2 linked regions of the Arabidopsis thaliana genome follow. The protein of the gene in region 2 interacts with the protein of the main gene of each other region in a pairwise test. Each region holds a gene or a part of one and is shown on either strand. Other genes may lie near its edges.

The links.
Region 1: the proteins of 3xHMG-box1 (region 2) and RSZ22 interact in a two-hybrid assay, tested with the Arabidopsis thaliana proteins (one large-scale study listed by BioGRID).

Annotation. Positions count from the first base shown.
Region 1 is NC_003075.7:15,301,129-15,316,640, forward strand, and holds RSZ22 (serine/arginine-rich 22), read left to right. Parts: upstream 1-5,415; 5' UTR 5,416-5,639; exon of another isoform or gene 5,640-5,643; intron 5,644-5,842; 5' UTR 5,843-5,854; coding exon 5,855-5,943; intron 5,944-6,046; coding exon 6,047-6,135; intron 6,136-6,309; coding exon 6,310-6,562; intron 6,563-6,641; coding exon 6,642-6,776; intron 6,777-6,899; coding exon 6,900-6,936; 3' UTR 6,937-7,907; downstream 7,908-15,512. Other genes in the region: AT4G31570 (nucleoporin), read left to right, coding at 1-2,696, 2,797-3,583, 3,657-4,312, 4,406-4,541, 4,639-4,741, 4,806-4,908; CSLC5 (Cellulose-synthase-like C5), read right to left, coding at 8,761-9,405, 9,497-9,610, 9,694-9,984, 10,073-10,381, 10,489-11,208; UTr7 (UDP-N-acetylglucosamine (UAA) transporter family), read right to left, coding at 14,104-14,268, 14,359-14,502, 14,591-14,749, 14,839-14,949, 15,030-15,275, 15,384-15,489. UniProt on the Arabidopsis thaliana protein: Sequence-specific RNA-binding protein probably involved in pre-mRNA splicing. In vitro, can complement efficiently splicing-deficient mammalian SRSF7-depleted HeLa cell extract.
Region 2 is NC_003075.7:6,753,029-6,769,173, forward strand, and holds 3xHMG-box1 (HMG (high mobility group) box protein), read right to left. Parts: upstream 10,472-16,145; 5' UTR 10,245-10,471; coding exon 9,939-10,244; intron 9,426-9,938; coding exon 9,019-9,425; intron 8,931-9,018; coding exon 8,825-8,930; intron 8,736-8,824; coding exon 8,670-8,735; intron 8,581-8,669; coding exon 8,410-8,580; intron 8,326-8,409; coding exon 8,234-8,325; intron 8,158-8,233; coding exon 8,073-8,157; intron 7,978-8,072; coding exon 7,870-7,977; 3' UTR 7,736-7,869; coding exon of another isoform or gene 7,276-7,735; 3' UTR 7,250-7,275; downstream 1-7,249. Other genes in the region: MTSSB (mitochondrially targeted single-stranded DNA binding protein), read right to left, coding at 1,792-1,808, 1,896-1,955, 2,028-2,128, 2,432-2,640, 2,897-3,054, 3,142-3,202; WRKY41 (WRKY family transcription factor), read left to right, coding at 6,275-6,627, 6,769-6,897, 7,276-7,735; TBL23 (TRICHOME BIREFRINGENCE-LIKE 23), read right to left, coding at 11,617-12,405, 12,500-12,792, 12,977-13,193; AT4G11100 (gelsolin protein), read left to right, coding at 16,008-16,145.

The sequences.
Region 1 (15,512 bases), 8.5 Mb from region 2:
AGGAAATGACGCAGCGAAGCCTTGATTCCACTTCACTTCGAGAGTTAGTTGAGAAGGTTGAGGGTCTTCTGGAACTTGAAAGTGGAGTGATTTTTGAATCTCCTAGTTCACAGGTGGAGTTTCTCGTTTCCCAACTTGTTCAGAAGTTTATAGAGATTGAGGAATTAGCTAATCTCCTCAGAAAACAGTTAGAGGCCAAGGGGAATGAGTTGATGGAGATCGAGGAGAGTTTACTGCACCATAAGACTAAAATAGCTGGTCTCAGGGAAAGTTTAACCCAGGCTGAGGAGTCCCTTGTGGCTGTACGATCTGAGTTACAAGATAAATCTAATGAACTTGAACAATCAGAGCAGAGGTTATTATCGACTCGAGAGAAGCTTAGCATAGCTGTTACTAAAGGAAAAGGTTTGATTGTTCAGCGTGACAATGTCAAGCAGTCGTTGGCCGAAGCCTCTGCTAAACTGCAGAAGTGCTCAGAAGAATTGAATTCGAAGGACGCTAGGCTTGTAGAAGTTGAAAAAAAACTGAAGACCTATATTGAGGCAGGTGAACGTGTGGAAGCATTAGAATCTGAGCTGTCATACATCCGAAACTCAGCTACTGCATTGCGAGAATCGTTTCTTCTGAAAGACTCTCTGCTTCATAGAATTGAAGAAATTTTGGAAGATTTGGATCTCCCAGAGCATTTTCATGCCCGAGATATATTGGAAAAGGTGGAGTGGTTAGCAAGATCAGCTAACGGCAACTCTTCGCGCCCCTCTGGTTGGGATCAGAAGAGTTCTGATGGAGGTGCGGGATTTGTTCTCTCAGAGCCCTGGAGGGAGGATGTACAAACTGGCACAAGTTCTGAGGATGACTTGAGGATCAAGTTTGAGGAGCTCAAAGGAAAGTTTTATGGATTGGCTGAACAGAATGAAATGCTGGAGCAGTCCTTGATGGAAAGGAATACTTTGGTTCAGAGATGGGAAAAACTCCTGGAAAATATTGATATCCCTCCACAGCTACACTCCATGGAAGTGGAAAACAAGATTGAATGGCTTGCAAGTACAATTACAGAGGCTACACATGACCGGGATAATCTCCAACAGAAGATTGATAACCTTGAAGTCTATTGTCAATCAGTAACTACTGATTTGGAAGTCTCACAAAAGCAAGTAGGTGATGTCGAGGGAAATCTTCAATCATGTGTTAGTGAGAGGGTGAATCTTTCTGAAAGGCTGGAAAGTTTGATTGGTGATCATGAGAGTCTTTCTGCAAGGGGCATTCACCTTGAAGTTGAGAATGAGAAACTGCAGAATCAAGTGAAAGATTTGCATGAAAAATTGGTTGAGAAACTTGGGAATGAAGAACATTTTCAGACTATTGAAGGAGACTTGTTAAGTTTGAGGTACATGATTGATGATGTTATACAGGAAGATGGCTTGCAAGATTTGGCTTTAGCAAGTAATTCTGAGAACTTGGATGGAGTGCTGAGAAAGCTGATAGACTATTATAAGAATTTGGTGAAATCTAGTTTGCCAGGTGAAACCGATGACAACGTCTGTGAAACTCGTCCATCAGATGCTGATGTTAGAAGCGGAGAGTCATTGGGTGCACATGGAGCAACTTCTCATGGGCAACATTTTGAATTGTCTGATTCTAATGTAGTTGAAGCAACAAGTAGAGACATAGCAGTCGTAGAGACACCTGATGTAGCTTCCCTAACAAAAGATCTGGATCAGGCACTGCATGTTCAAAAGCTGACAAGGGAAGAAAGAGATTTGTACATGGCAAAACAACAATCCTTGGTTGCGGAAAATGAGGCACTTGATAAGAAAATAATAGAACTGCAGGAGTTTCTTAAACAAGAAGAGCAGAAGTCAGCTTCTGTAAGGGAGAAGTTAAATGTAGCTGTTAGGAAAGGGAAGGCTTTGGTCCAGCAAAGGGATAGCCTGAAGCAAACTATTGAAGAGGTGAACGCTGAGCTTGGTCGCCTGAAATCAGAGATTATCAAAAGAGATGAAAAGCTCTTGGAAAATGAAAAGAAATTTAGGGAGTTGGAATCTTATTCTGTGAGGGTAGAATCCCTAGAGTCTGAGTGCCAATTGTTGAAAATTCATTCGCAAGAAACAGAATATCTTTTACAGGAAAGAAGTGGTAATTTGAGCATGACGTTGAATGCGTTAAATAGCATTGATATTGGTGATGAAGGTGACATAAATGATCCAGTCATGAAGCTTCAACGAATCTCCCAACTGTTTCAAACAATGAGTACAACCGTGACTTCTGCTGAGCAGGAGTCGAGAAAATCTAGAAGAGCAGCTGAGTTGCTACTTGCTGAGTTGAACGAAGTTCAGGAGACAAACGATAGTCTGCAAGAGGATCTATCAAAATTTACATATGAAATCCAGCAACTTTCCAGAGAGAAGGATGCAGCGGAGGCTGCAAAGGTTGAAGCCATATCTCGTTTTGAAAATTTATCAGCAGTCAGCAACGAAGAAAAGAATAAGCTATATGCTCAACTGCTATCATGTGGAACCAGTGTGAACTCTCTAAGGAAAATACTCGCAGGTACCAACAGTTGCCTAGCTGATATTTTCATCATGGATATGGAGTTTCTGCATCATCTGAAGGCAAATATGGAATTATGTGCGAAGAAAACTGGAACTGATTTGTCTGGCTTGCCTCAACTCAGTACAGAGAATCTGGTAGACAAGGTATTTAAATAATTTTAACAGCTTATTATGGTATATATACTTTCAAGGTTTTTCTGCCTCTGACTATTTTCTGAATATTGTTTTTCCTATTTCTGCGTAGGAAATCTTTGCACGCTTGAGTGCTGCTTGGTCTAACATTAACTTGCATGAGACATCAAGTGGTGGAAACATAGCCGAAATTTGTGGTTCTCTCTCCCAAAACCTTGATCAATTTGTGGTTGGTGTTAGCCATCTCGAAGAGAAAGTAAGCAAGCACTTGGCCACATGGCACGACCAGATCAATATTGTATCCAACAGTATCGACACCTTTTTCAAGTCAATTGGAACAGGAACGGACTCTGAAGTTGCCGCTCTTGGTGAAAGAATTGCCTTGCTTCATGGAGCATGTTCTAGCGTGTTGGTGGAAATTGAAAGGCGTAAAGCTGAACTTGTTGGAAATGACGATTTTAATATGAGTCTCCACCAAGTAGATGAGGACTTTTCGTCTATGGAATCTGTCAGGTCCATGGTAAATAGGCTATCGTCAGCTGTTAAGGAGCTTGTTGTAGCGAACGCTGAGACTCTGGAGAGAAATGAAAAGGAGATGAAGGTAATCATCGCCAATTTGCAAAGGGAGTTACACGAAAAGGACATCCAAAATAATAGGACGTGCAATGAACTTGTGGGTCAAGTTAAGGAAGCCCAGGCTGGTGCAAAAATCTTTGCGGAAGATCTTCAATCTGCAAGTGCCCGGATGCGTGATATGCAAGACCAGCTGGGTATTTTGGTTCGGGAACGGGATTCTATGAAGGAGAGAGTAAAAGAGCTGCTAGCAGGGCAGGCGTCACACTCAGAATTACAGGAGAAGGTCACATCTCTTAGTGATCTACTAGCTGCGAAAGACCTAGGTCAGTTTTTCTCTTTTACCCTTTTGTTTTTGCACCGCCACATATATAGCTGATACCTAATTGCTTCCTGCAGAAATTGAGGCCTTAATGCAAGCGCTTGACGAGGAAGAGTCTCAGATGGAGGATCTGAAACTCAGAGTTACAGAATTAGAACAGGAAGTGCAACAGAAGAACCTAGACTTGCAGAAAGCTGAAGCTTCTCGTGGGAAGATTTCCAAAAAGCTATCAATTACTGTGGATAAATTCGATGAGCTCCATCACCTCTCTGAAAATCTTCTTGCTGAAATCGAGAAACTTCAACAGCAAGTGCAAGATCGGGATACAGAGGTTTCTTTCTTAAGACAAGAAGTCACTAGGTGCACCAATGAGGCTCTTGCTGCTTCTCAGATGGGCACTAAGAGAGATTCAGAAGAGATCCAAACTGTACTGTCTTGGTTCGACACGATAGCTTCACTACTTGGTATAGAAGATTCGCTGTCCACTGATGCTGACAGTCATATAAACCACTACATGGAGACATTTGAGAAAAGGATAGCGTCTATGCTATCTGAAATAGACGAATTACGGTTGGTTGGACAAAGCAAGGACGTTTTGCTTGAAGGCGAGAGGAGTAGAGTGGCTGAGCTCAGACAGAAAGAAGCAACTCTTGAGAAATTCTTACTTGAGAAAGAATCCCAACAAGACATTTCAACAAGCTCGACGTCAGAGATCGTTGAAGTGGAACCTCTGGTAAGCTTTGAGCTTGTTAAATAGTTACACCATTCCAGATGCCTCAAGATGATAAATTTTTAATTGTGGATTTTTTTTTGTTGGATATCACAGATAAACAAGTGGACAAAAACATCGATTCCATCACAAGTCCGGAGTTTGCGTAAGGGAAATATGGATCAAGTCGCCATTAGTATAGATGCAGATCAAACTGATCAAAGCGGTAGCTTAGAAGAAGATGATGATAAAGGTAATTAAACTTGTCTCTGAATATTTAGTACTTTTAACAACATTTCTTAGTAACATTCCCATTTGTATTTTTTCTGTTTTTTAGCTCATGGTTTCAGATCACTCTCTACGTCAAGAATCATTCCTAGATTCACAAGACCCATCACTAACATGGTCGATGGTTTATGGTCAGACTCTTTTCATCCATGGATCTCGTTCAGTGTAAAGTTCTTTAATTATGATCTAACAAAAAACGACCCTTTTATTTGGTTTCTGAACTTTTCAGGGTCTCTTGTGATCGGACGCTCATGAGACAACCTGCTTTACGGTTAGGGATCATGCTATACTGGGCGATATTGCATGCTCTTTTGGCTGCTTTCGTGGTCTAACCAAACTTCCAATTTCGTAAGCTCATTACTGACTTTTTTTTTTTTAATCCCAAAACAAGTTGCAAAGAGTAGCTTGATTTGCTAAGCTTTTAAGACGTGTTTTAATCGTATATTTGCAGCTGGTTTCTCGTTATAGCATGCATGGGCTCATCAAAGTGGTGATGTGTTGTCGTCTCCAACACTAATTTTTTTTTTTTTTTTTTTTTTTTTTTTTTGTCTTTGTCTTTGTTTTTAATTCATTGTTTAGCTTATATTAACCAAGCAAACTGTGGTTTCAGCATTTTTATTGATCCGAATCACAAACTGCTTGGGTTTTCAAACGAATAAGAAAGAAAGTTTATTTAGTAGCTGTGGAATGAAAGTGTGATTTAACTAGAGAGACTTGAAGTTCTATTATTTTTCTTTTTCCCTATTCTGCTATTCATTATTTTCAGAAATACAAAGCAAAATACGTGAAATGATCACATTTAAGTATTTAACAAACTATACAGAGAAAAAATAAATATCACCGACACTAACATATTATTGAAAAAAGGCATGAAAAGGCTACTTTTAAGCCCAATAAATAGGCCCAAATTGTATATTTACTAAATTTTGTTAACGCGCTTACAAAACCCTTTGGAAAGTATTTCATCAAATTTCAGATTCAGAAACCCTAATTTCTTCACAAAGCAAAACACAGAAAAAGCCATTCTTTTTGCCCCTTGAGTGCTTTCAGCTCTTCCCACAAGGTAGGTCGCAACCAAGTTTCTTTATCTCCTTCTCACTCTTAATTGTGGTAACGTTGATCCGATCTGTTCAAATTTGATCGGGTCACTTGGTGGATCTAGTGACTCTGTATTTTTTCTCGATGAATTCAAATCCTTTCGAATGTCTTACTAGAAAAGATTTAGAATTCCTTTATGTTGACCTTGGTTTATTGTGCCATTGACAGGTTACAGAAGTAATGTCACGTGTGTACGTCGGAAATTTGGACCCGCGAGTTACTGAGCGTGAACTTGAGGATGAGTTCCGTGCCTTTGGAGTTGTCAGGAGGTAAGAATCAATCCAATCAATCAGTTCGCGCTACAATTTTGTCACTTTTGAAGTTAAAAGTATCCAATTTTGCATCTCTCTAATGTTCATATGTAATGTGCAGTGTTTGGGTTGCCCGTAGACCACCTGGTTACGCTTTTCTAGATTTCGAAGATCCTAGGGATGCCCGTGATGCTATCCGTGCTTTAGATGGTAATGATGCATTCATATTCTTTCTATTTTGCTTTGTTCTCTTAGAAGTTGATGTTTTGATTGGGATTGGAAAATAAGTTTGGTGGAATCTTTTAAAGGAGAGAAATTTGAGGTTTGCAATTACTTTTGACTTGAAACTTCACAATTTGACATGGATATTGTGATAACGGATAGGCAAGAATGGCTGGAGGGTTGAACAGTCTCACAATCGAGGTGAGCGTGGTGGCGGCGGTCGTGGTGGTGACCGTGGAGGTGGTGGCGGCGGCCGTGGTGGTCGTGGTGGCTCTGATTTGAAATGCTATGAATGCGGTGAGACTGGTCATTTCGCACGTGAATGCCGTAACCGTGGTGGAACTGGAAGGCGTCGCAGCAAGAGCCGTAGTCGCACTCCTCCAAGATACAGAAGGAGCCCAAGCTATGGACGGAGGTCAGTGATGCTTTTTATTTTGTTACCTTAGTACCTTATTTTGAACGGATTAAGTAACCTTGCCTTTTTCTGGTTTTAGGAGTTACAGCCCTCGTGCAAGATCTCCCCCTCCTCCAAGGCGCCGCAGTCCTTCTCCTCCTCCTGCCCGTGGCCGCAGCTACAGTAGATCACCACCTCCATACAGAGCGCGTGAGGAAGTGCCATATGCTAATGGGTAAATTTCTTTTTCCCAAGTCTCTATATCATTATCAGTGTTTAGGTTTTGGTTATAGTTCTTAGAGATAAACATTTACATTTTCTTCAGATGCTAATTCAACATCTGTTCTTGTTTCTTCAGAAATGGACTGAAAGAAAGACGCAGAAGCAGGAGCTGAGTGAGTGATTTTGCAAGAAAACGAGTGTGTGGGAGGATACTTTGGAAGAGAAGAAGAGAGGGACTAAGGGAAGTTACTATCATCTATGAATTTCAGTAAGAGAACATGTTTTAGGTCTGCTGGGTTGGATAAAGCTTGCTACTTTTGCTTTTGGATATGAAACGTACGTAGTTGTGTATCTACCAATAGGTAAAAGAACACTTGATTCGTACCCTAGTTTCTTAAAGACATAATGTTTGATTGGAAATTCTGCTAAATGCCTAAGCGTTTCTTGTCTTTTTCCACCGTGTCGAGGTTTCTTCGGGTCTACTACTACTACTACTGCTTCATTGCTTATCTACTTGCTTCTCTACTCTTCTCATATGAAGCATCTTCCTTAGTTTCTTGGCCTACTTCATTGTTTATCTGCTTGCTTCTCTACTCTTCTGCTATGAATCATCTGCATTTAGTTGCTCGGCCTGGTATGGGAAAAGTTAAACCACGGTTGTGGATCCCTAACATCATCTTCATTTAGTTGCTCGGCCTGCTTCATTGTTTATCTACTTGCTTCTCTACTCTTCTGCTATGAATCATCTTCGTTTAGTTACTCGGCCTGCTATGGGAAAAGTTAACTACGGTTGTGGATCCCTACATGGCTTGCTTCTACTTCATCTTCGACCCTAGAGATGCGCTATTGTTTGAAAACTTCATCAGCTTTGAGGTTACCTTCTTTGCATGAACTTGAGCTGCATCACTCAGAAGCACCTCTTGTGTGGTCTGAATGTTGTGCATTAGGTTTAGCATAATTGTAGCTATGTGATAGTGTTTAGTATGCACATTCTTGTCCTTGGATAGATTTTTGTGCATTTCACGGTTTATATAGGCAAGTCAAGAATTTGTAAATGCGTATCAGTTGCTACCATTTGGTACTTGTGTTCATTTCACTTAAGCATAGTTGTGAAATTGTTCACTTTTATGAAGGTGAAGCAAAGTAATTGCCTAAGAGGAAGATTGAATACATAATCTGATTTGCTCTTATTCACGTAACAACTAGCTATGGTTTCGTTTCAGCAACTATAAATCCCAAATTAAGTGAAAAAATAAAAGTATACTTGCGAAGTAGACATGGAGACGTTGTTTTGGCATGACAACAATTAAAAGCCTAGAAAAGCAAGAGAGACAAGATCATGATCCTAGTTCGGTCCCAGAATCATCAACAAACCCACCAAATTAAAATCTGTTTGGTCCCATTCTTCACTTACACATCATTGAATTGATTGTTATGTGACGTAAACCTCTCTGACCTCTGCTTTTTTTCTGCAATTATGCTTCTCCTCATTCCACTTCCTCTGCCGACACTTTTTTTGCTCCACGTTTCTTCACTTTTCACCGACACTAAGTTGAGAATGTCCTAAGATCCTCAGAGAATACAATAAATATTGGTCTTTCTCTTGTTTCAGTTTAGTCAGAAAACTGGTTCTTGTTAGTTATTTACAGTTACAATCTCTTTCCACAAAGGTTGGACTTTAAATTACATAAATTCTCTGCAGTGATTTGACATGATCCTTGAAATTAGTTCAAGACAGAAGCTCTTTTAACTGCCAACAACATGTTCCAACTTTACAGATATTGTATACATGTATGAATCTCTGGCTCACACTCTATCCCTAACAATGGAGGAATCAAACCAACATAACAAACAAACAAACGAAACGGAAAATCAATTAATGCCTACCACTATGGTTCCAACAATCTCATTACAGAGGATACCACTGAACATAGAGGAAGTGGAAATTCAAACTCACTGATTTATTGACCCGAGTTATGAATCTTCTTTTGTTCTTCTCAGCTCATCTGCTCGCCTATGAGATCGAGACCCACAAGAAGAAAGGTAACACCTTGGAATAACAGGAAGTAGAAATGCACTCCTTGTGCTGCCAAGAGACTCCTAAGCGCTGCAGTGAGCAAAAGAAAGGCCAATGCGAGCTCTTTGTGGTATATCTTGTTGGTTTTCTTGACAGGTTTCTTTGAAACCGCTTGTTTCTGTTCTTCAAGTTGGCTCAGCTCCAAAAGTTCGCTGTCGGAAACTCCCCTAAGCAATTGACTTTTCTTGGTTGGTGTCTCTTTCTCGGTGATAGATAAAAGATCTGACTCTGATGATCTTCCAGCTTTCTTTGTGACAATCCACTCGTAAGAGCTACCCAATTGGAATAATCCGGACACCATCGCATTGAACTTGGTGACAGACATTGTGTTCTCGAATAAGAGATAAGGAACGATGAAAGGAAACGATTTTGGAGATGGAAGAAGGTTGAGGAAAGACATGAAAACTGGTATGTAGCAGATGACCCAAACAGGGAGCTCAGCTTCTGGAACAAACATGGTGAGTGGAAGGATTATGCAGAACAAAGTGAAGGAGTAGAAAGGAAGTATGAGTTTCCTAAGAAGAAAGAAGAGAAGTATCAGATTCGCCTTCTTCCATATCGCTATCTGCAAGAGTAACCAATGAGAACCAGAAGAAGTCATTAACATGATGATTAGCAAACATTTGAACTAAAAGAAGAAAAAAGCTGCACACTACCTTAGAGGTCAAGATTGAACCAAGACACAAGCGGAAAAGCTGCATAGGTCCCGAATGCCAACGGTGTTGCTGCTTCTTATATGCCTCGTAGGACTCAGGAACTTCGCAAAGGACCTATAGATTTGTTTCTATCCAGTTTAATTCATTTTGTTACATAAATAAGGCTTTTTTTAGAAACAATCGATAAAAAGTAGTACCTTGACGTCATTAAGATATATGAACTTCCATCCATGAAGATGAGCGCGGACTGCTATGTCCATATCCTCCACAGTAGTCCTTTCAAGCCAACCACCAGATTCCTCAAGGGCTTTGATTCTCCATACTCCAGCTGTTCCATTGAAACCAAAGAAGTTCAAGAACACGCCGTTCACTTGCTGCTCCACCTCAAAGTGAAAACACAGATTGATGTTCTGAAGACGGGTCAACAAGTTCTCGTCTTTGTTCACAAATGTCCATCTAGCTTGAACTAGACCTAACTCTGGGTTATCCTGAAGATTAAATCACATTTTTAACATGTTAGCAATCTCTCTCTCCACTTTTCAATGATAGAAAATTGAAACCAATGTTAATACCAACCTTGAAATGTGGAACTGTTAGTTTAAGGAAATCCGGAGTAGGCTGGAAATCGGCATCAAAGATTGCGACATACTCGTATGCTTCAACGTAATCACAGCTCATTGCTGATTTGAGGTTACCAGCTTTATATCCAGTTCTAACCAAGCGATGCCTGTAGATTATGTTGACTCCCTTTTGGCTCCATTTGGCAACCTCAGCTTTAATTAACTGTTGGATGCTTTCATCATTCGAATCATCGAGAACCTGAACCAGTATTCGATCTTTCGGCCAGTCAAGTTGACACACGGCAGATATAGATTGTTCATACACCTGAACAAGAAGAAGACTAAAGCTCATTACACTGATACCAAAAAGGTTATATAAAGCAGGAGAAAGATGAATACTTTCTTGGATATACCAAAGTTGAATGAGCATACCTCTCTCTCATTGCACATTGGAATCTGAACAAGAACCATTGGATACTCAGATCCAGATCCCTCAGCATCATCATTACGGAAAGGTTCCTCATCAAATCTCGGCTTAATTTTCTTATACTTGATCCAAAAACAACCCAAGCAAAGTACCAAACGATCTACTGACTGTATAAGGAACAGCACAATACAAAACTTGGAGAGAGCTTTGATGGGAGGAGCAATATAATCAGCTCTAAGGGTTAACCAACCAACATACACAAGATGAAACAGGCTCTGGATCTCAAGTGTGCTAGTGGGGATGTGAAGACTAGGGCTTTGAAAGTAATGCCATCCTCTAAAATAAGCAACAATCTCAAAGCCGAGAATCACTAAGGAAACAGCTAAGAAGAGCTTAATGGCAGTGAAAAGCCATCTGTCTCTGCCTAATTTCTCAGAGCCAAGTGGGTGAGTGAAACTAAGCCGTTTCTTGATGGCACCAAGGAGAGACCAAAAGACAGTGGCGAGCCAAGTGAGACATCCAACAGCTCTATGAGCTTTGAGAAGCAAAACCCAAGTGACTTGCTTAGCGTTCTTGCCTCTGCTCTTCTCCACTGGTCTAAAAGCCGAATCTGGACCGTCGATTTCAACTACAGAGTAATTAGGATTCTCCATTTTCACCACAACTGGTGTTCCTTTCCTCGTGTCTTTCGCCCACCAATCTGAAAAATCCAACCTTGGAGCCATCTTTTGCCTCTAAAATCTCCTCTGAGAAGTAGAGAAATCGAAAACCCTAGCTGAAATTTCTAAATGTGGTAAGAAGGATCCCAAAATAAACACCCAAATCTCAAAGTGTGAGATTTCAAACACAACCCATTTTCAGGAAAACAAAAAGGTAGAAACTTTGAGTGAAAGGAGTGAGCTTTCTCTACTAATAATGGAAGAGAAAGAGATTAATCTAACACCCAGATCCCAGAAATCTGAAATCTAGAGACCCATTTTGTTTTTTATTATATTCTAAAAAACCAGACAAAGAAGCATCCACAGCTCAAGGCTCATTTATAGTGGACCTCTTTTTTTAGAGAATGACAGAGAGAAGGATGGGTTGGTGAGAGAGTGTAGTGACTCAGAGAGAGAAGCAAAGGCAGAGGAAGAGGAAGAAAGGTATCATCAGTGAGAGAAGTTGTAAAAGATGTGTCACTTGCACTTTCATGTGTGTGTTACTCTTTCAGCTACTTATTTGATTGCTTCAGCATGCAAAATTCATCCCCTTTTTATTATCACTCTTTGTAATCTTTCACAAGCACTTGTCATGTCATGGATCTTCATTACAAATATTTGTATTTTCTTAAAAAAAACAAATTTGTTATATATTCAAAAGAAAGAAAATTGAGGAAAATCCATTGATGGATGGGGACCATATGGGTTGTTTGGCAATTTGAGGTGAAGACAAATTCAAATTTGTATTTGTGACCAACTATGTACTAGTTACATTGGAACATGTTTATAAGAAAAGATACTACCAAATCGGTTTCAAGTGAATCACTCTATTTTGCTATCACCGCTTCTCCTACGTGCTCCCCATGTCATGTTCCATGTTTTTTCCAAATTATATATTTTATACATTTAGTCAAATTCTCTTTGTAGTCCATTCATATTTGTTAAAAATACTATATTAACATGAGTTAAAAGTTTTCCTGATTAATTTACTCAAAGCATAAGCATTTTCATTATTATATTCTTGTCAAAAAAAAATCTTGAGTGTTGATCATACTTGGTAATTGGTATAATCACAAACGTAAGTCAAAGCCTTACTGTTAAAACAAAGGGATGCAACTCAATATTAACTATGAGTTCTATAATCAAAATATATATTATACATTAGGAGAGTAAGGAGGGAAACATTATACTTTGGTTTATTGACAAAGTGCTCTCTAACAATCAAAATTGGTCAAGTGTTGACGTAAAATATTGCCGCTAATTTTGGTCATTTTGTAAAACAAAAGATAATTTAGTGGTGCATGCCTTTGACAAAGGGAAGTATTTGACAAAAAAAAGAAGAATGTGATTCATTAGAAGGATAATGTCAATTTTTCAGTTTTAAAAATTCTGAAAGTTCCAACCAACAATTAGGTTACCCGAGATACTTGTCGGTGGTGATATCAACACATGTAGAACACTAGAAGATAAGGATATTCGTTGGCATTTTTAAGGTTTTATTTACTATACAATACCTAACGTTTTACGAAAGTATCATATAAACACTAATAAGAGAAAAGGAAAAGCTAAAAGGAGAAAGATCAAAAGAATTATAAATAAGTAATTTTGTAGGTTAGTACTATTTTTTTGTAATACCTTTTTTTATTTTGTGTTGCTTGTGACATGCATCTACAGAAACCAATCGGTGCTGAGTAATTAAAAATTTGTCATGTAGATTAAAGTTAGACTCAAGAATATATTCTATACGGTTTTAATAATTACTGGCTAGCTATTATATAACGTCATAGATGGAAAAAAACAAAAACTGCAGAATTTAGTGACATTTTTTAATGAATTTAGCCTCAGACACAGTTCTGCCCTAAACACAAATGGTTAGATAACTATGACAATTCTGATGAAATAATAATTCACAAATTATTGGACATGATATATTTTTAAGTGTGCTTTAAAATGAATCCAAATTAATCATGTATATATTAAGATGATCGATTGTGTATTGGTGAATGATTATTAGTTATGACTCATAATGATATTCTTTGAACTATGTTATCATAATCTTTTCATACAGTGCTTTACACCCTCTACTTTATACATATTTATTTCAATAATTGTAATTAGTGGATACAATCATTCAATAATTCATTTAATCGATTAAAGTTTTCTATTGTTATGTTTTTTGTTTTATAAGTTTTTCAACTCTTCCAAAGTAATGTCCATTTCTTTTATAAATTTGAATATTCTGAGCAAAATCATGGAATAAATGAATGTACTACTAATTTCACGCCAAGAAAATGAACTCTATAAATGCTATAGCCTTTCGTATGAATTATGAGTCATTTATTTATCTTCATTTATTTGAAATCTCTAAAGTCCAACTAAAAACGTTTGCAAATTCAAAAACCAAAAATATTAGTTATGATCCGTATGCACAAACCGTAGATTTAAGGAAACGAATTAAGACTTAAACAGAGGTCACTGACGTTGTAATGACTTATGTGCTGTCTTTTTCTATCACAAAATGTCTTAATCCAAAGTATTAATTAGTAGTAGTAGTAGACCCATTTAAAAAACTTTTCCACCATTAAATAGAACAAACATTTCATGTGTTCTTGATAGTTGATAGTTGATACCAACACATGTCTAATGTTTAATATGGTTATGCTACAGCCACAACTTAACAATTATACATTAGCATGATTGCATCTACATATAAAAATAGGTATTGATTTTTTTTTTTTCTTAACCTAAACGAGAAATTAACTGATCAATGAAGTTTCACATCAAAATTAAATCTCACTCTAGGACCGATTTTCCTGGTTCAACTCTCAAATACATCGGTTCGTTCTGATCATTGATTTGAGTGGCAAAGTCTATAAACCGGGGTAATGCCTTCCCAAACGAAACCAAACCGGACCGAAATTCTCATTTTTTGTGAGCTTCCAAATCAGACATTAGCTTAGCCGGTTTAGCCTTTTTCTGTCGGTACTTGGCATATGAGTACCACACACCACCAGCTGTGTTGACCACTAAACCGGACACGTTCAAAGCATGTACTTCAACACCACCCAAGAGGACAAAACCGAGCGTCTAGGAGATTAAAAAGGAGGCAAAGATTAGTAAATGATTGCCTCTATAGATTTCATCTCGAAAGAGAGCCAAATGAGGGTTTATACTTACAGTGGAACCAACGCCTTTGAGAACACCAACGATGGTTGTTGTTAGTGCAGAGTTCACAATGGTGCAAAGAAACATGGTGAAGTTGAGGACAATGCCCATAACCAGTGAAAGAATGAGAATCACCAAGAACGGCAAATAAGAACACTGTCAAAGAAAAAAAAATTGATTTTGACATTTTGAAGAGACTAGTTTCTGAGAATAGCCGCAAGCTTGGAATGATGAAGTTTCTAACCTTTGCAAGTAATAGTGATAGAGAGTTTGGGAATTCGCCGGTAACTATGATGAGGATGGACAAAAATGGGAGAGAAAGGAAGCTGTTATAGAACATTATCTCGATGGAGGAAAGCCCGTCTTCTGCACCAGACTTCTCCACCAGCACAAGGTACATAGTCTGCAGCAATGATGAGAAACAATATTCATTTACTCGTATGGGTGAGTGGAGACTGATTTAAGAGAAGGAAAAGAACAAATGAAACCAACCTGGAAAAAGACAGATGTTAAAGCCAAACCATACCCAAAAAGATCAAAAGAAAAATCACCAAGAGCTGCAATTACACAGCCTGCAGCGGTAAGTAGTACAGATAGAGCAACCTGAAAATTAAACAAAAGATTCAGAGCTTGAAACATTATACAAATTCACAATAAAAAATCAACATTCTTATGGTAAGTACCTGAGTTGTTGGTTTGCCTTTACCAAACAAAACCCCAGAAATCAAAACAGCAAGTGGAGTGAGTCTCTTAATGGCGATATACATTGGAATGTTTACTCCTTTCAAACTTGCAAGAGCAAATGCAACATTAGCATTGTAGAAGATAGAAACCGGAAGAAGCTTTTTGGCCGTAGCCATATCAATTCCTTTAGCTCTTGTGTATCCCATTCGTCTACCAAAGTGTATAAGCAAAGAAGTAGCCAATTGCTAACACAACCAAACAAAAGCAAACGGGACCGAATTCATAATCAGCATTTACAGGAAGTGAATAATCTCTTTAGATATCTAGTACTTGAGAAATATGGATATCAGTACCTGAAGAGTAAGAACAGTCATGGAATGTGGATACTGCATAATCACAGCCTTGTTGATAAAAACCATTGCCATTGAAGCAATGCCATATGAAACAGCTGCGACTAAACTGCATCATAGAACAAACCAGTA
Region 2 (16,145 bases):
TGACCCCTTCGTGCGAGAGAGCCCAACCTAAGTTTCTAAGAAGTGGCCCATTTCATCACGTGGCCTCACGTGTTGCTTCACTAAACCTTGAATATTTATTTTTATTTTTGACAGCTATCAAATTTAGCATTAAGAGACAAAAAAAATCCAAGCATCCATCAGAATTTTCTAAAGAGACAGTTTCTTTCATACATTCGTAAAAAGTTTATTATCGCACGTTCAACAATGGTTTGAGAATCTAAATATTATTCTTAGGTGATTTATAGTCACAAAACAAAACAAATTTATTTTTTAAAGTATGAAAGAGGATACATGTTTTATGTTTATATGTAGCTTCTACTCATTTTCCTGCTACTTTCTTTAAAAGGGTGAGATGGAGATCTCAAGAGATTTTGCTCATGATCTAAACATATTTGGTGGTATGGGTGGTGTGATGGGAAATTTAACTATATCACTGATTAGATTTAAAGATTACATCACTAAAACGAACTTTTTAGTGGTGTGAGTTTTCGATGATCCCATATGTCTTATGTTTACTTGATGGAGGTGATGTGTTGTTCTTCTCATGCTTTCTTTTATGCATATGAAGTTTTTCTTAATTAGGCCTCTCTTTATAGCAATTGAAATACCAAACAAAACAGGTACATAAGATTAAGTTTCTCCTCATTGACCAATAATTTTATATGTCGTGTAAGCATTCATCTCTAATTATAATTATACATATATATATATATATATATATGCTTGAATGTTATATATATGAAAATTGATCAACTTTCTCCATCTTTCCGCCACGTTAGCAATGGAAAGAATGCTACTTGTCATATCAACATATTACATTTATTGTTTAATTTAATTTATTTAAGAATTTTTTAAATCATGCATTAATTCTTATTTAAATAAAAATTTGACATGTTTTAACTTATAATTAAATAATTTCAATTTCATTAGTTACAAACTATATCCATCTCATATATAAATTAACTTATTTAAATTTAGTTGAATAAGTTGTATAAACTTATGCATAAACATAAAATCATAAAATCAACAAATTTAATTTAACTATTGATTCTATTAAAGTACAAAAAATGAATAATATGATATTAGAATTTATTTCATGTTTTCATATACTAATATTTTATAAAATATTAGTTGAAAGCAAATATAAGATACTAAATCAGCACTACTTTTTTTGTTTATTTAAAAGATAACAAAATATTTTTGTTTTTGTATCTAAGGTAAGTAATTGTAAATAAGTATTAAACAATATAATAATGCTCTTCTTCTATAAATACTAACTCTATTCTTATCGGGGAAATTATGCTCTGATGTTCTGAGAGTTCGCGATCTCCTTGTTATCGTTCTTAGAGTGTGAGTCAGAGATATCAACAATCTAATAAACAATGTCATATCATTTAAGCTATTACTGAATATTTCTTTCAATTTTGATGAGTAAAATATTTCTCATTAAAATTGAAATCCAAGTCTTTATATATCACTTCGTCTCATTTTGTGTGGGTCTTTTAGCCCAATTCGTAATGTGAGCACTTTTGTTTTTCGTCTTTGTTCTTCCTCATTTTTTGCCATATAAACATCCACTGAAGAACAATACATCAAATAATTCTGACCAGAAACTACATAAATATGCCCCCTGGTATCCATTAAAAGGAACTCAGTGCTCACAAAGTCGCAATGGACAGAACAAAAAACCAAACTGTTTTATCGATTTTACTCAGAAAAACGTTTTATTCAGTTTGCTCTCATCCGGTCACCGGAATATTCTTGCTCCGACTAAATCAATCCTTCTTCTGCCAAATGTGAAACAAATATTAAAACACAAGCAACTATCTCTTTTTTCTTTGCGAATATTAGCTGAATGAAAAATGATAACTTACTTAGCTCATCAAAAGAGATTTTGCTAATGCTTTCACCATATTTGATCATCCGAATCTTACCTAAAACAAAGCAAGAGAATCGTAACTCAGCAACAAATTGATGTTCCGGATCAACAATATGAACATACATACCATCACGACGAACGCAAATCTCAGGGATACTCTTCACTTCACTGCTGATGCTATCATTATACACTCTAGTCTCAATATCACCTTCCACATAAACCGACGAGCTGTAACAAAGCACCAGCAAAGAAGTTTAGATGAAAACCTACACCTTTCACTTCCTATTTAGACATTGCTACCAGCATTACATAGAGCGACTAAAGACGAAACAGAGAGATTGAAGACAGATAATGTAGAAGATATTATTCAACTTAAGAGTTTCTGTGTACACTTTTACACATTCACACACATATGAGCTGATTATATCTTAACCAACGGATTTATCACTTAGTTAATCTGAAATTATAACTCTTAAACTATTGTTAATACTCTTCTTTGTTCAAGATAGTTAAGCATATAATAAAACTTACTTTTTAGCGAGTTTTTGGACAGCGTAAGAGCCAAGCACTTCGTTGTGCACAGCGATTCTATGCCACTGAGCTGGTTTTGGCTGATTAGTAGCTCCTACAAGCCTCTGATCAAACATCCCACCTGTTCCTACTGTAAAGATCGTTACTGTCCGCCCGTTCCTTAAGATCTTCTGTAACGGTGCTTGCCCTACTTTCCCACAAATAATCGCCTGAATGAATCAAAGGAAACCAACAATGACATAAAACCGCAAGAACGCCATTGAAAAGCTGATAAGTATATGAAATGATATTGCAACAAGATAACTCAAATCATCGAAATCTAGTTCCAAACTCTTATTCAAGGCACATACATAAAAACCGTTCCTTTTCAATCGGGTTTTTTGCTATAGCTAAGCCTAATTTGATTCTGATATTCTTCAGCTAAGAATGCATAACTTTTAAGTGTTAAAGATCAAATCTTTTTACCCTATGAACACCGCGAAATCCCCAACCTTTACGAGGATCAACTCCATGAGGTTGAAGCTCAGGCCTTTCTGTAACATTTTCTTCAAAATCTTCTTCTACACCTTCATCGATAGGACCAGTAGAGAACCACGACTTAGAGCCTCTCTCAGCACTTATTGCTACACATCAAAGTAACACAAGAAGAAACAAATGATAGTCTTCTGAGAAAAAGGCAGAAGATTTAGGTGATAAGAAAGAAGAATTACCTAAAGGAGATATTGAAGAGGATCTGAGAACCTTGGAGACTCTAATGGCGAGTGAGTTCATTCTGGGACGACTCTAAGGATGTGATGTCTGCAAAAATGAGGGAATTGCAAATGATTCCTCGAAATTAGGGTTGTTTACAACAAATTTGAACCAATTACGATTAAATCACGACGAAGCTGAGAAATGCGAAAGCAGGATTCCGATGTAAGAGGGAAATGGCTTACCAGTGAGTTTGTGAAAGAGGGAACGCAACACAGAGAGGAAGAAGAAGAAGAGTAAAACGACGTCGTTGAGGTTTGATTCGTTAAACCCTGCGTTGAAGATTTTTAGGGTTTTGGGGACAAAACGAAAACGATGTGAACGGGAAACATTTCGGAGGTAGAGGACGACGACGGCAACCTTAGGTTGTGCTATGTGATCTTACCAAATTACCCTTCGTTAACGAATTAATGAAATGAGATGACATGGCCCGTATAGGATTTAACTTTTCAATTTTTTTTAATGAGAATATTTTCATTTATTAATTTTAACTCATTTGATATTAATTTGTATGATGTAAGATTAACTTAAGAGATTACCGTATATATAAAAAATATATTTTTAACAATGTTTAGTTTTAAATATTTTTGTGGATTTTTATTTTTTTAATTAAGTATTAGCCCTAAGCGTTTTGGTATTCGAGTCAGGTTCAGGTCGGCTATTTTGGGTTTGAGTTTAGAAGTTTAGGACCCGTTTGGGTAATTTAAGATTTCAGGTCGGGTTAGGGTTCGAGTTTATTTATATATTAAAATATCAAATTTTGTGTGCAAATCTATTAAATTACTTGAAAATTTTAAAATATTTCCAAAACAACACGAGTAGTTTTGCTTGAATATATCTAAAAATAAACAAAAATAATTAAAATATCCGAAAAAATCCTAATATTTTCTGTATACAAGTATAAATATAACTAATATATACTTATATATGAGATATGTTTGGATACCTATTCAGGTTCGGGTTTTTTGGGTTTTGAAGTTCAGAACCGCTCGGGTCTTTGAAAATTTTGGGTTCGGGTTCGGATCGGTTCTTAGGGTTGGGGTATTATGCCTAGGCCTATTAATTATGTTTTGTTAATTTTTAATTATTTTTAATACTAAATAGGATATAGATTTGATATGTCATAAATATTATTTTGATATGAAAATGTTATCATTCAATATGAAGTGTGTAGAATTTAAATCGAGTTTATTATGATGACATAGATAGTTAAACTGTATTACAAAATTGAATGTGTAAGATATAAATTTATTTTTTCTTTTTCTTTTCTAGATATTAAATTAAATATAGAATGATGATCGGTTACTTTTTAGAATTCAAATATCATTCATAAGATTGAGTGTGTATAATTAAAATAGAATGGATAAGACTGAAATTTTGTTTAAACCAATAATTATTAAATTAAATATCAAGAAAAATATATTGATTATTATACAAATTTCTATCGATAAAACTTAATTTTTGTATCTTAGACCCGCCTAAATAGCAGATGCTGAATTTAAGAGAATAAAAAAGTTAAATTTTTGTATCTTAATTTTTATATAATAAGATTCTATTTTTTTTAAGAGAATAAAAAAATTAAATTTTGAATGACAAATGTAAACATCTGATCGTTTGACTTGACACGTGGCACGATTCTATGAGTTAGTAACTTAATTAGCATATGTAAATTTGTTTACTTTTTAAGATTTTCTATTTTTTTAAGAGAATAAAAAAGTTAAATTTTAAATGACACATGTAAACATCTGATCGTTTGACTTGACACGTGGACACGATCCTATGAGTTAGAAACTTTGAAAACCATACTTTATATAATAAGATAAGATTTTTAAGACTCTAAATATTTGTTTATAGTTTAAGTATACACTAATGCATCACAATGTCACATTAACGTATTTAACTTTACACAACACGTAGGTACGTGGACTTAGTAATGAAAACGGATATACTTTCAATATGTTATAGCAAAAACTAATCTTCCAAGTCCATTAAGACAAAAAATCAACTAATGGCAGTAAAGTTACAGATCAATCATGAGATATGGAATTTCAGATGGAACTTCTTTTAATTTGATACACTTTGAGTCTTTGACGATGGATGGACTTGGTCAGCAGAAACCTTTTTTTACGATCTTGTATTGAATTATGAATGTATGTGTCATCTCACTTTTCTCTGTAATAGTTTATGGTTCATTTCATACAATCATACTGTAACTTTCTAAGATATCATGGAATTTTGTTTACATCTTTAAATGTTAGAAATTAATTAGAATGTCAAAATACAGTTGAACTTATTTAGTTAGCTCATCCTGATTTTGTACTATATTTTATAATTGAGATTTGGTATCTAATATTTGTGCTATAACTGCTAGTCTGCTATGCTATATATTTCATATTTAAATCTGGTAGACTATCTGAAGATGTTGAACACAAACAAAATAAATGATACAAAAACGGTTGTCGTCAATAGAATAACAAGTTATACAAGAAATGGTTTGTTGCTACCAAAATAGAAATCAATGTAATAGTACATTTTGCAGATAGATATTGAAAAAGAACCTTAACAAAGTTAATACTTGGAAAAGGTACAGTTTATTTCTATCCTAATAATATAATTATTTAGTAAACCACTAGATTTAAATAACTAATCAACTTGGTTAAACTAAAATAAACCCAAAGTTGATTTGGTCAGCATTTGACCTATAGTAAACACCACCACTTATACACTCTGAAACGATATATTCTTAATGAAGACCAAAGACTTTCTCAACTTTGAATCTTTTTCCTATTTGTTTAATAGTTTGCTCACTTGGTCAAATTTTCAAACATATCTTTTAAAACCTTTAAATTCCAAAAGAACACGCTTCGTTTTAGTACATTCTCATCATTCAAATACCAAAAATCTCACATCTTTTTCCTAAACCACAATCACATGTTCTTAATCTAAACCTTACTATAAAAAAGTTAAAAAGCTATCACATCTCTTCACCTTCAATGTCAAAAGTTTTTCCAAAAAATTCATAACTATTTCTTCCGGTCACCGTAAACCGGGGTTTTACCGCCTTTCGAATTTACTCAAGACACTAAAAGTAACATGGAAATGATGAATTGGGAGCGGAGGAGTTTGCTAAACGAGCTAATTCATGGACTAAAAGCGGCCAAGCAGCTTCAGGGTTCGTCTTCTCCATCGTTGTCAGCTTCTTCTTCATATTTGACGACGGAGATAAAGGAGAATCTCTTACATAACATAGTTTCTTCCTTCAAAAAAGCTATTTTGATGCTCAACGGATCCACCACACAACACAATCCAACGATAGAGCTTGCGCCTGATCCCCTAGCTCATCCCGGAAAGGTTCCAGGATCTCCAGCATCGATCACCGGAAATCCGAGAAGCGAAGAGTTTTTCAATGTAAGATCGAAAGAATTCAACTTAAGTTCTAAAAAGAGGTAAAAATTTGAACTTAAATTAGCGTTATAAAGAAGAGAAAAGCTTATTAAAATTTAATAATAATAATAATAATATTAGAATTCAAAAAAAATAGCCAGATTTTTTGAATTAGAGATTTGACAATTAATGAAAATTTGCAGGAAGATGTTGCCAAAGTGGACAGAGCAAGTGAGAATTAGCCCAGAGAGAGGCTTAGAAGGACCTCATGACGATATCTTCAGCTGGAGAAAATATGGCCAGAAAGACATTTTGGGCGCCAAATTCCCAAGGTACATCATCATACTCTATCATCATCATCATAATCATCATGTTTACGAATAGTACATTTGTTAAAAGATTGGTTAATAGCAGCGGATAAATGTTGAGTATAATTATATGAGTAATATATACCTAAAATTACTATTCAAAGTGTATTCTCATATTAAAAACTATTTTGCATAATTTAAATATCGAATATGTAATGAATAATTCTGAATATAATACAAGATAAATTAGATATTTAAAATTATTATCCGAGTTTGCTATATGAAGGTCGGATTTGTATATAATCAGATAGTTTTTTTTGGCTAAATTTACGTGGCTTTAAGAAGAAGAAAAAATTAGTTTTAGTTTTACTAATTTAGGACTAATTTGTGTTTTTATTGCAGGAGTTATTACAGATGCACATTTCGTAACACACAGTACTGTTGGGCTACGAAACAAGTCCAAAGATCGGACGGTGATCCAACGATCTTCGAAGTAACATACAGAGGAACACACACTTGTTCACAGGGGATCCCACTTCCAGAGAAACGAGAAACCAAACCAAAACACACAGTAGCAGTAAATTACCAGAATCTCAGGGCCAGTCTTACCGTACGTACCGGCGGACTTGGAAGCGAAGCTTTCTCATTCCCCGTCACGTCGCCGTTATACACTTACGAGTCCATCAACGGTGGTGGAACGTTTTACCACCACGTGGGAAGTTCTGGTCCGTCGGATTTCACTGGATTGATCTCAACAAATACTTCCACAGGAAGTTCTCCAATCTTCGACGTTAATTTTCAATTTGATCCAACGGCTGAGATTAACACAGGCTTCCCCACTTTTTTCCACAATTCGATTTAAGTAGTACAGTATTGAATATTCTTGAGATTAATATAATCCCGATTAGCGCCTAGCGATTTAAGTAGCAGAGTCATTTTGCATAAGTAGAGATGTTCAATATGAGCAAACTTGAACATTCTCTAATTTTTCTTTCTCTACGACGAAGTCTTGGTCTTATTGTACTCTTCCACTTCTTTCTTGTAAGCTTCCATTAACTCAGCAGCTTTGCTATTGTAAACTTGTTTCTCCTCTTCACCAAGTTCCTACAACAAAATTGTAACCAAAACCAACTCAATTTCACAACTAACAGTGATAAAATCTTACTCGTTGGATTCGAGTTTCATGATTTATAATATACCATCCATTTCAATGAAATGTGAGCAGTAACAGTTGAGTTGTTGATCCCAGGATGTTCTTCTAACACACTCTTTCTTGCGTCTTTGCTGTAAAAAGATTTGAGATTATAAAACCAGTTTAGCATCTGATTGTTTTGTGGATTCAGGGTTTTAAAGTATATACCAGAAGAGAAAGTATGAAGAAGTAGGCTTTTTGGGTTTGTTAGGATCAACATTCTCGTTCTTTTTCTTGTTCTTCGCCGTCTCTTTCGTCTTCTGCAAGAAAGAAAACATGTGTTGTGTTAGTTACTGACTTATATCCCAAAATAGCTCAATGCACTGTGAGTTTAGTATATTAACCTTTATGATATTGTCGGTTTTCTCCTTCTTCTTGAGAAGTTGGAGAGCTTCTTGTTTATGGAGTTTCATGAATTCTTCTTCTTCTTTCTTCTGGCTCATTGCTTCTTCTTCCTTTGTTCTTTTATATCCTTCCATTTCTTGCAGATATATCTCCTTGTTCTTTTTCGCCATCTGTTGTTACACATACGTTAAGAACATCCCTTTATTAAACTTCACTTCTTGACACATCAATGTCTATGATGAGTATGGATGAACTAGACCTGATCATAAGGAGCCTTTTTTTCTTCCGACAAGTTCTTCCACTCTTCTCCAGCCATCTTAGCGACCTATAATCATCATTCATCATCAACACACACCTTAGCTTCAAGAGTTTCAAATGACATTGAGAAAAGACAACTCCTAATTCTTTACTTACCTCAATAACGCTTTTGTTTTCTCCTTTTAAAGCAGCTCTCCTCTCGTTTGCATAGATCAGGTAAGCAGATATTGGTTGTTTAGGCTTCAGGGGATCCTTTATCTTCCTACAAAACAAGAAATTCATTCAGTTTTATAACTTATCATTCAAAACAAAACAGTTCTCGATTTAAATACTTGAATCAGTATCATTACTTGGCCTTTTTCTTGTTGTCATGTTCAGCTTCCTGAACAAAGTGAAGATACTGATCAAGCAATTCCATTGCAGTTTTCTGCTTCTGCTCATCATCAAGAAGCTTCATTGCTTCCCTCTCACGCTTCTCCTTTGTAATAACCTGAAGATAAGCTTCCTTATCCGCCTGATACTTCTCCTCATAAGGCTTCTTCTCTTCAGCACTAATCCCCTTCCACTTAGCACCCAGAATGTTCGAAGTCTCCTTGAAATCAGCTTCAGGATTCTGTTTCTTCACTTCGTTCCAATTATCCTTACACCACAAAATATATGGTGTTGATGGTCTCTTTGTTTCAGCACAATCCTTCTTCTTCTTCTTTCCCTTCTTTTCTTCTTCAGTTTGTGCCAAAGATTGACTAAAAGCAAAAGTCTGTGGAAGCAACAACAATACTCCCAAAATCAATCACAAAATAAACATTATCACAACATAGAAATGATACATCAACGAAACATGAAGTAATCTATCGATTTAGCACCAAATTTAACATCTCTATCTTAAACAGAAGCATAGAAATCAATCTAACATCTGTGAATGATGATTAGTCTCAAATCTAAGCGAAACTTCCATCAATCATCTTTAATCAATTTCACAGAACCTGAACTAGCTTCAATCTTCATCAATAAGCGAATCAACAATCAACAAGCTCCTAAACGCATAAGATTAATCAGATTTTCTGAATATATCCATCCCCAAAATCATCATGAATCAATTTCACATAACATGAACTTAGCAACAAGGTCCATCAATAAGCGAATCAACCATCAACAAGCTCCATAACGCATAAGATTAACCAGATTAAAATCATCTCGAATCCTTTATCAAAAAACCTAATCTGCGAAATACAAGTGAAGAAGAATCAGAGCCAGATCTAGAAAATCGTACCATGTTAGGCTTGAATTCCTTCATCTTCTGCAGTTTCTTCAGCTCCGTCTTAAGTTTTTCCTGTTCAACTTCCTTCTTCCTCAAGATCTCGTCCTTCTCCTTCAACAAATCCTCAGTTTTCTCCTTCTCGATCTTCATCTTCTCCAACATCGCTTGCATCTCCATCAGATCTTTCTCAAACGACTTCGTTTCTTTCCCCTTGTCTGAGACCGGTGATGACTCGACGATCTCATTCTTTTGCTTTAACGCTTTTCTACTGTTTCTCGATTTCTTCGCATGAGCAGGATCTGAAGAAACTGTCGACATTGTGAAGAGAGATTGAGCGAGAGCGAGAGAGAAATGGAGATTTTGGAATTTGGGATTTTGACGATTAGTGGAGCCTCTGGGTTTATTAAATAAACAAAGGCTTAACGGTCAACATTTTGAAATTCAAAACTGTTCCATTTCTGGATTTAAAGAAAATTTTGGCGTCCGAAGAAGATAAGCAGTTATCAACTTTCTCTCTAAAATCTTAACGCCTTGCCGCTTTTTTGTTTCGACCAAAAGAAAAATAAATAAGAGTATCTAAATTAAAACGCCTTGCCGTTTTATACGTACAATCAAATCTTTTGTGCTGTTTTTAAATTATAAAAAAGAAAAAACAGTATACCGTACATGTATTTGTGTTGCACAAGATAAGTGTCTTTGTAGAAACTATGGACAATTCTGCTAAAAGTGGCCCATAACTTTTGTCTTATACCATAAAGATTTAAATTTGACATACCATAACAATATGGGCTTAAAGTTCAAGGCCCATAAATGCCTTCCCCTAATTTGACTCACCGTTCGTCCTCTCTCTATAAATCCAAAACCCTAATACTTTTAATCCAAGTCAGTCTCCAACGCCGACAAAATTTCATCTTCTTCCTCTTCATAGTTTTTCTACTTTCCGTTTAGTGTTTTTTGTTTTGTTTTTGAGAATGTGATTAAGATTGCTTTGGAAAGGCGTTGCACTCTTTCGTATCCTAAAGAAGGGTGTGTCACCGAAAGCGTATAATCAAATATTAAATCCGATCATTAGGACTGCGAAATTCGGATTCGTTCGAATGAACAAAACCTAAGATTCGGTGGTTTTTTTGTCGCCTTCGTAGATGAGAAACTTCGATTATTATTGAGAAATTGATGGGTTTATAATTGGAATTGCTTCATAATGGTGAACTCTCTTAGATATAAAAAAAGTGAGAGATGTTCAAGTTTCCGGAGCAAATATTAAACTGGCCAGAATTTAACAGCTCTGTGTTTAATTTTACTATTTTCACAGAGTTACCTGTCTTCTGGTATATATCATCTTAGTTTGATTCTTCTTATTTATGGATAATTTCTGATTATTGTTTCCCAAATGTTGAACTCGCCCACCAAACCAACTTACTAAACCGGATTGGATCACCATTTTATTGACCATTAAACTAAACAAAACCAAATCCAGAAAAATCAGATTTTACATAAATTGATCCATAAGAATGGCTACGTGAACCGAACCGGTTTTCAATTCATCCAAGGTGATCTATCCGGTTCATTAGAAACTCTAGCTGTTAACCAAATCTCTTCATGTTTACCAAAATTTACATGACCTATATACCAAACCTCTGTTTTCAATTCATCCAGTTTTTAAGCCATTGACTACATACAAGCAAACTGGTTATTTACCGGTTCGACCATTCACTATGATCTCCAATATGACATCGTTCAAGTGATCAATCGGACCAGGCAAGCACCAATGCAGACAATCGTTCTGTACCGTAGCGTTCTTATCTTTATCAAACGGCCTAAACTCTCTATATGGACCCGGATGACCATCGGGTCGAGTCAGCAACATGCCAGCAAAATCCAGAAGCTTTAGATTCTCACTCTCCTGACCCATCTCCGTAACCACTCTCTCGAATTGATTAATCTCAACATCTCTCAATATCTTGTTCAGAACTTTCATCTCGACTGCCTCTTCACCCACCGGTTCTGTTTTCTTACAAGTCCCACCGTTATGCCATTCCCCATCTTCAAAATGATCAGGTATCGAAGTCCGGAAAAAGATCATGCCTTTAGTTTTAGATTTCGCTATGAAGTCCATAACATGGCGCAACGACGTATTGTAAGCATAGTCGAATCCTAAATCCGTCATGTTCGAACTCTCCGGGCAGCCATGGCATCCAACGGGATTAGCATTCTCGTGGTATACCGCAGTTTTCAAGAACCATTCCCCTGAAGAGATGATCGCATAGTCAAGGCTCGGGAATAGATCAGTCCATGTATTGTCGAGTTTATCTAGATGAAGCTGAACTGCAGCTGATGAGACACCATTTGAGTCTTCAAAGATATCAGCTTGAACAAGAAAAGGTGACCAAATGTTGGATACCGTAAAGTTATACGAAGGAAAATGCCAACGCTTCGATCTATAGTTCTCATCGTGATACACTTCAACAGGTTTTTCAACCTGAAACATGGAAAAAACAAACAAAACTTACAATCACAAATCTCATTATCCTCAAGTCTGCAAATAGCTAGCAAGCAATAGCTAAAAACCTTACTGTAGATAGCATACAAAGCAAAGACTCGACATGGTTACGAGCAATGGAGTCACCGATTATAGCCCAAGATTTATTCCTCATAAGCTGCAGAAATCTCAGAGAATCAAACCGAGGCAAGGAACAGTCATTAGGCTTCCATTTCCAATTGAGAAAACCAGAATCAGGTCGACCATTAGTGATGCAATTCTGGTGAGCATCTACAACGATACCACATGACTCATTCGTGTAGATTGGTCCCAAAGGATCTTTAATCCATTTCCCAGTAAATAGATCACACTTCTCCACCTCAATATCTAATACAACAAAACAGATTCTTATCATCACAAACTAACAGAAGCTAATGAACCATTTAAAACTCTTCTAAAGTTGTAAACTATCTTTAAGAACCCTAGATCTCAGAAGTTTCCGTAAAAAACAAGGTTAACAAAATTCTACACAGCGAAATCGTTAATGTTATTGATATAATTGAAATCTTACCGACGGGAATTTGATCTTCGTTATCCGATAAGATAACAGACGTCGGAGAAATCTGGGAATTGGAGTTTCCGGTCACCGACACTTGAACTGGGGAAAATTGGCCGAAGCGGAAGACGAAGAAACGAAAAGCGAGACAAGTTATAAGTGTTGCAGCGACGAGTTTTATGAGATATGTGTTTTGTTGAAGATTAGAGATTGATTCCCATTTTAGCTTCATCTTCTTCTTCTTCCCTCGCGCTGAGAGATATACGATTTTTTTTTTTTGGTCAGAAAGTGGAATGTTTTTGATTCCGTACTTATTGCCTAAGCGATAAACCAATGAATAATAGAATCCAAAAAGATTAGTGAGTAATTTAATGCTTGTGGGGTTAATGATATACAGAAAGTTAATAAATGAAACAGAGAATGATTAATGAGGATTCTAAACAACCGTAATTATTCTCTCTCTGATTTTAAGTAATGTTTAAGGTTTTTTACACATATTACAAAAGTTTAGTTTAATTTACCTTTTTTTGCATAAGTAACTATATCTAAGTCAACCAATAAAAAATATACTATAGAATATTATTGGTCAAAAAATATTAAATACATTTAACTTTTATATTGAAAGTTGAAAGCATCATTTAAAATCGGAAAAAACATTCTCTAAATTATCATTTTTAATGATATGAAACCGTCATCAATTGTGTCAATATCAATAAAAACGATCTCTTCAGTAGAGATGAAAAAAAATTGTATCGCATATGTCACAACTAATCTAATCGTTTATATTATTTAAAGTTTTAATTTCTAAACTCATAATTTTTACCAATTGTTTCAAAATTTTCACATCTGCAATTTTAACTGCAAAAGTCTCTATATTTTCTACGGTCAAATTCCTTACACCAAAATTTTCTACAACCAAAATTGATATAGTTAGAAATAACACTTGTTACCAATCGGTCCTAACACTTTCAGATTATAGATATTGCGGTTAATTAGATAAAAAAGATTCAAAAATATATTTGATTTCTAAGGACAAACTAAAAAAATTTAGGAGCTTTAGAAAAATTATGTTTGATTTCCAATTATTCTACGTGGTTTTAGTAAAAGATGTGTTTACTATAAAAACCTTGATTGTAATTGTTTATAACTCATTACTAAAAGTTGTGACTGCAGAAATTACGAAACTAAACTACTACAAAAAAATGTGGAGAAATGGGTTAAAAAAAACAAGGAAAAAAATTCAATGTTAAATCAACTGAAATTTTTTTCATTTAATTATTCAGCTAATTTTAGGGAAGTTATCATATCACTATATATATATATATATATAAATAATACAAACAAACGATGCGTAGAAGAAAAAAAACTGTTGTCCGGTTCACTGTCCAGATCGGGTTTAAAAACATTGATTTTCATATTATATTCCGAATTTTGTTTTGCCAAAAATCCAATTACTTAAATTTCAGGTCAATTTATGTTAATTTTTTAACATAACCCGATCCAATTCAAATTGAAACAAATTTATATTTCTCTTTTAATAGTATAGGAATTTGCACAAATGTTATGTAAAAAACGGAAAATTGGTTTTTTCATATCTTTAGTTTGAACTATGCTGCATTTATACACGTATTATACCACAGTTGATTTAACCTAAACTTCAATTTGATATTTAAACTTTCATTTTTATACGAAAACATACATTAATGTTACAATGTTAGAATACCTTTAATTTCTGTTGTTAACCTGAATGTTAGGGCTGGGCAAAATATTCGTTCGATCCGCTTTGATTCGGTATATGATTTGGTTTGATTCGAAAAATCCGAATATCCGTAAGATTTTGGACCAAAGCAAATAGGAAAATGTAGTATTCGTAAAAACCGAATCAAATAACAAATTTTAAAAAAAAAAAACCGAATATCCGCTTCGATCCGTATCTTTTTATATATATATTAGAAAATATAGTTATATCTATATATATATCATAATAGTTTGTGTATTGTTGCTATTTTACGTTTTTATGTTAAAATGTTTGTTTGATCATTTTTCTCATGTTATGTTTTGATCAACGACATCAAAAACTATCGGGTTTTAGTTTTCGGAATTAGTTTGATAACATTTTGTAGACTGGTGGTACCAACAAGTATTTAGTTTTTATTTTGAAAGCATGTTAAATAAAAACTTTGAATATCTGATATAGTTATATAGTATATAGATTTTTTTTAATATTTAAATATATCAAAGCGGATATCCGCAAATATCACAAAAAATTCTGGATATTCGAAATTCCGGATATCCGGAAATTTTCGAAGCAAAGCAAAGCAAATCACAAAATCAAGTATTCGTTTAAAACGAATCGAATAACAAATATCACAATTTTTCCGGATATCCGTTTCGTACCCAGACCTACTGAATGCCATATATAAAACGGTAAAAACAGAAAATTAAAGTTCTAGTAAAAAAAACATCGCATCAGTTACAAGGTTTGGATTAAATTAAAAAAAGGTTTGGGTTAAATTAGCTTAAGAATGAACAATTTATTAATTATTTTTTTGGTCACATGGAATAAACAATTAATTAATTTGAATAATATTACTTAAATACATACAAACATTATCTGTCATCTTCGATTACGTTATCATTAACCAACGTTTAGGAGGACTTTGCTTCTTCGTCTTCTTCTCTCTTTAGGTTCTTCAAGTTCGCAATCCTGGTAAGATTTTCTCGAGAAAATTCCATTTCTTTCTATCTGATTCTGTTTACATTGTTGAATGCTTGAAAGAATCTGAGTTTTAACCACACTCTCTCTTCCCTGTTACTCACCATTTTCTCTCTGAATCCTCCGAAACCCATTTCGATTTCCACAATCTGAGCTCATAAATCTGGTTTAATTCTCATCTTCGTTGCATTTCAGTCATAAAGAGAACATAAAGCTTGGATATTTAGGGTTTTTGCAGAATTTTTGATTAAGCTTATGAGTTTGGTAATAATCTGTAGAAATTGGTTGATGTTGTTTCAGGTTTGGGTTTAGGACAAATCAGAGAAGAAGATGATGTTTGGTTTAGAGAAAACGATGACTTTGGAGCATGAAATTCTGAAGGAGAATCATGAGACTCTGTTGAAAGATTATGAGAGTCTTCAGGAGAGGATTAAGCATGCTGAGGAAGCTTATGAGGCTATTAAGTTG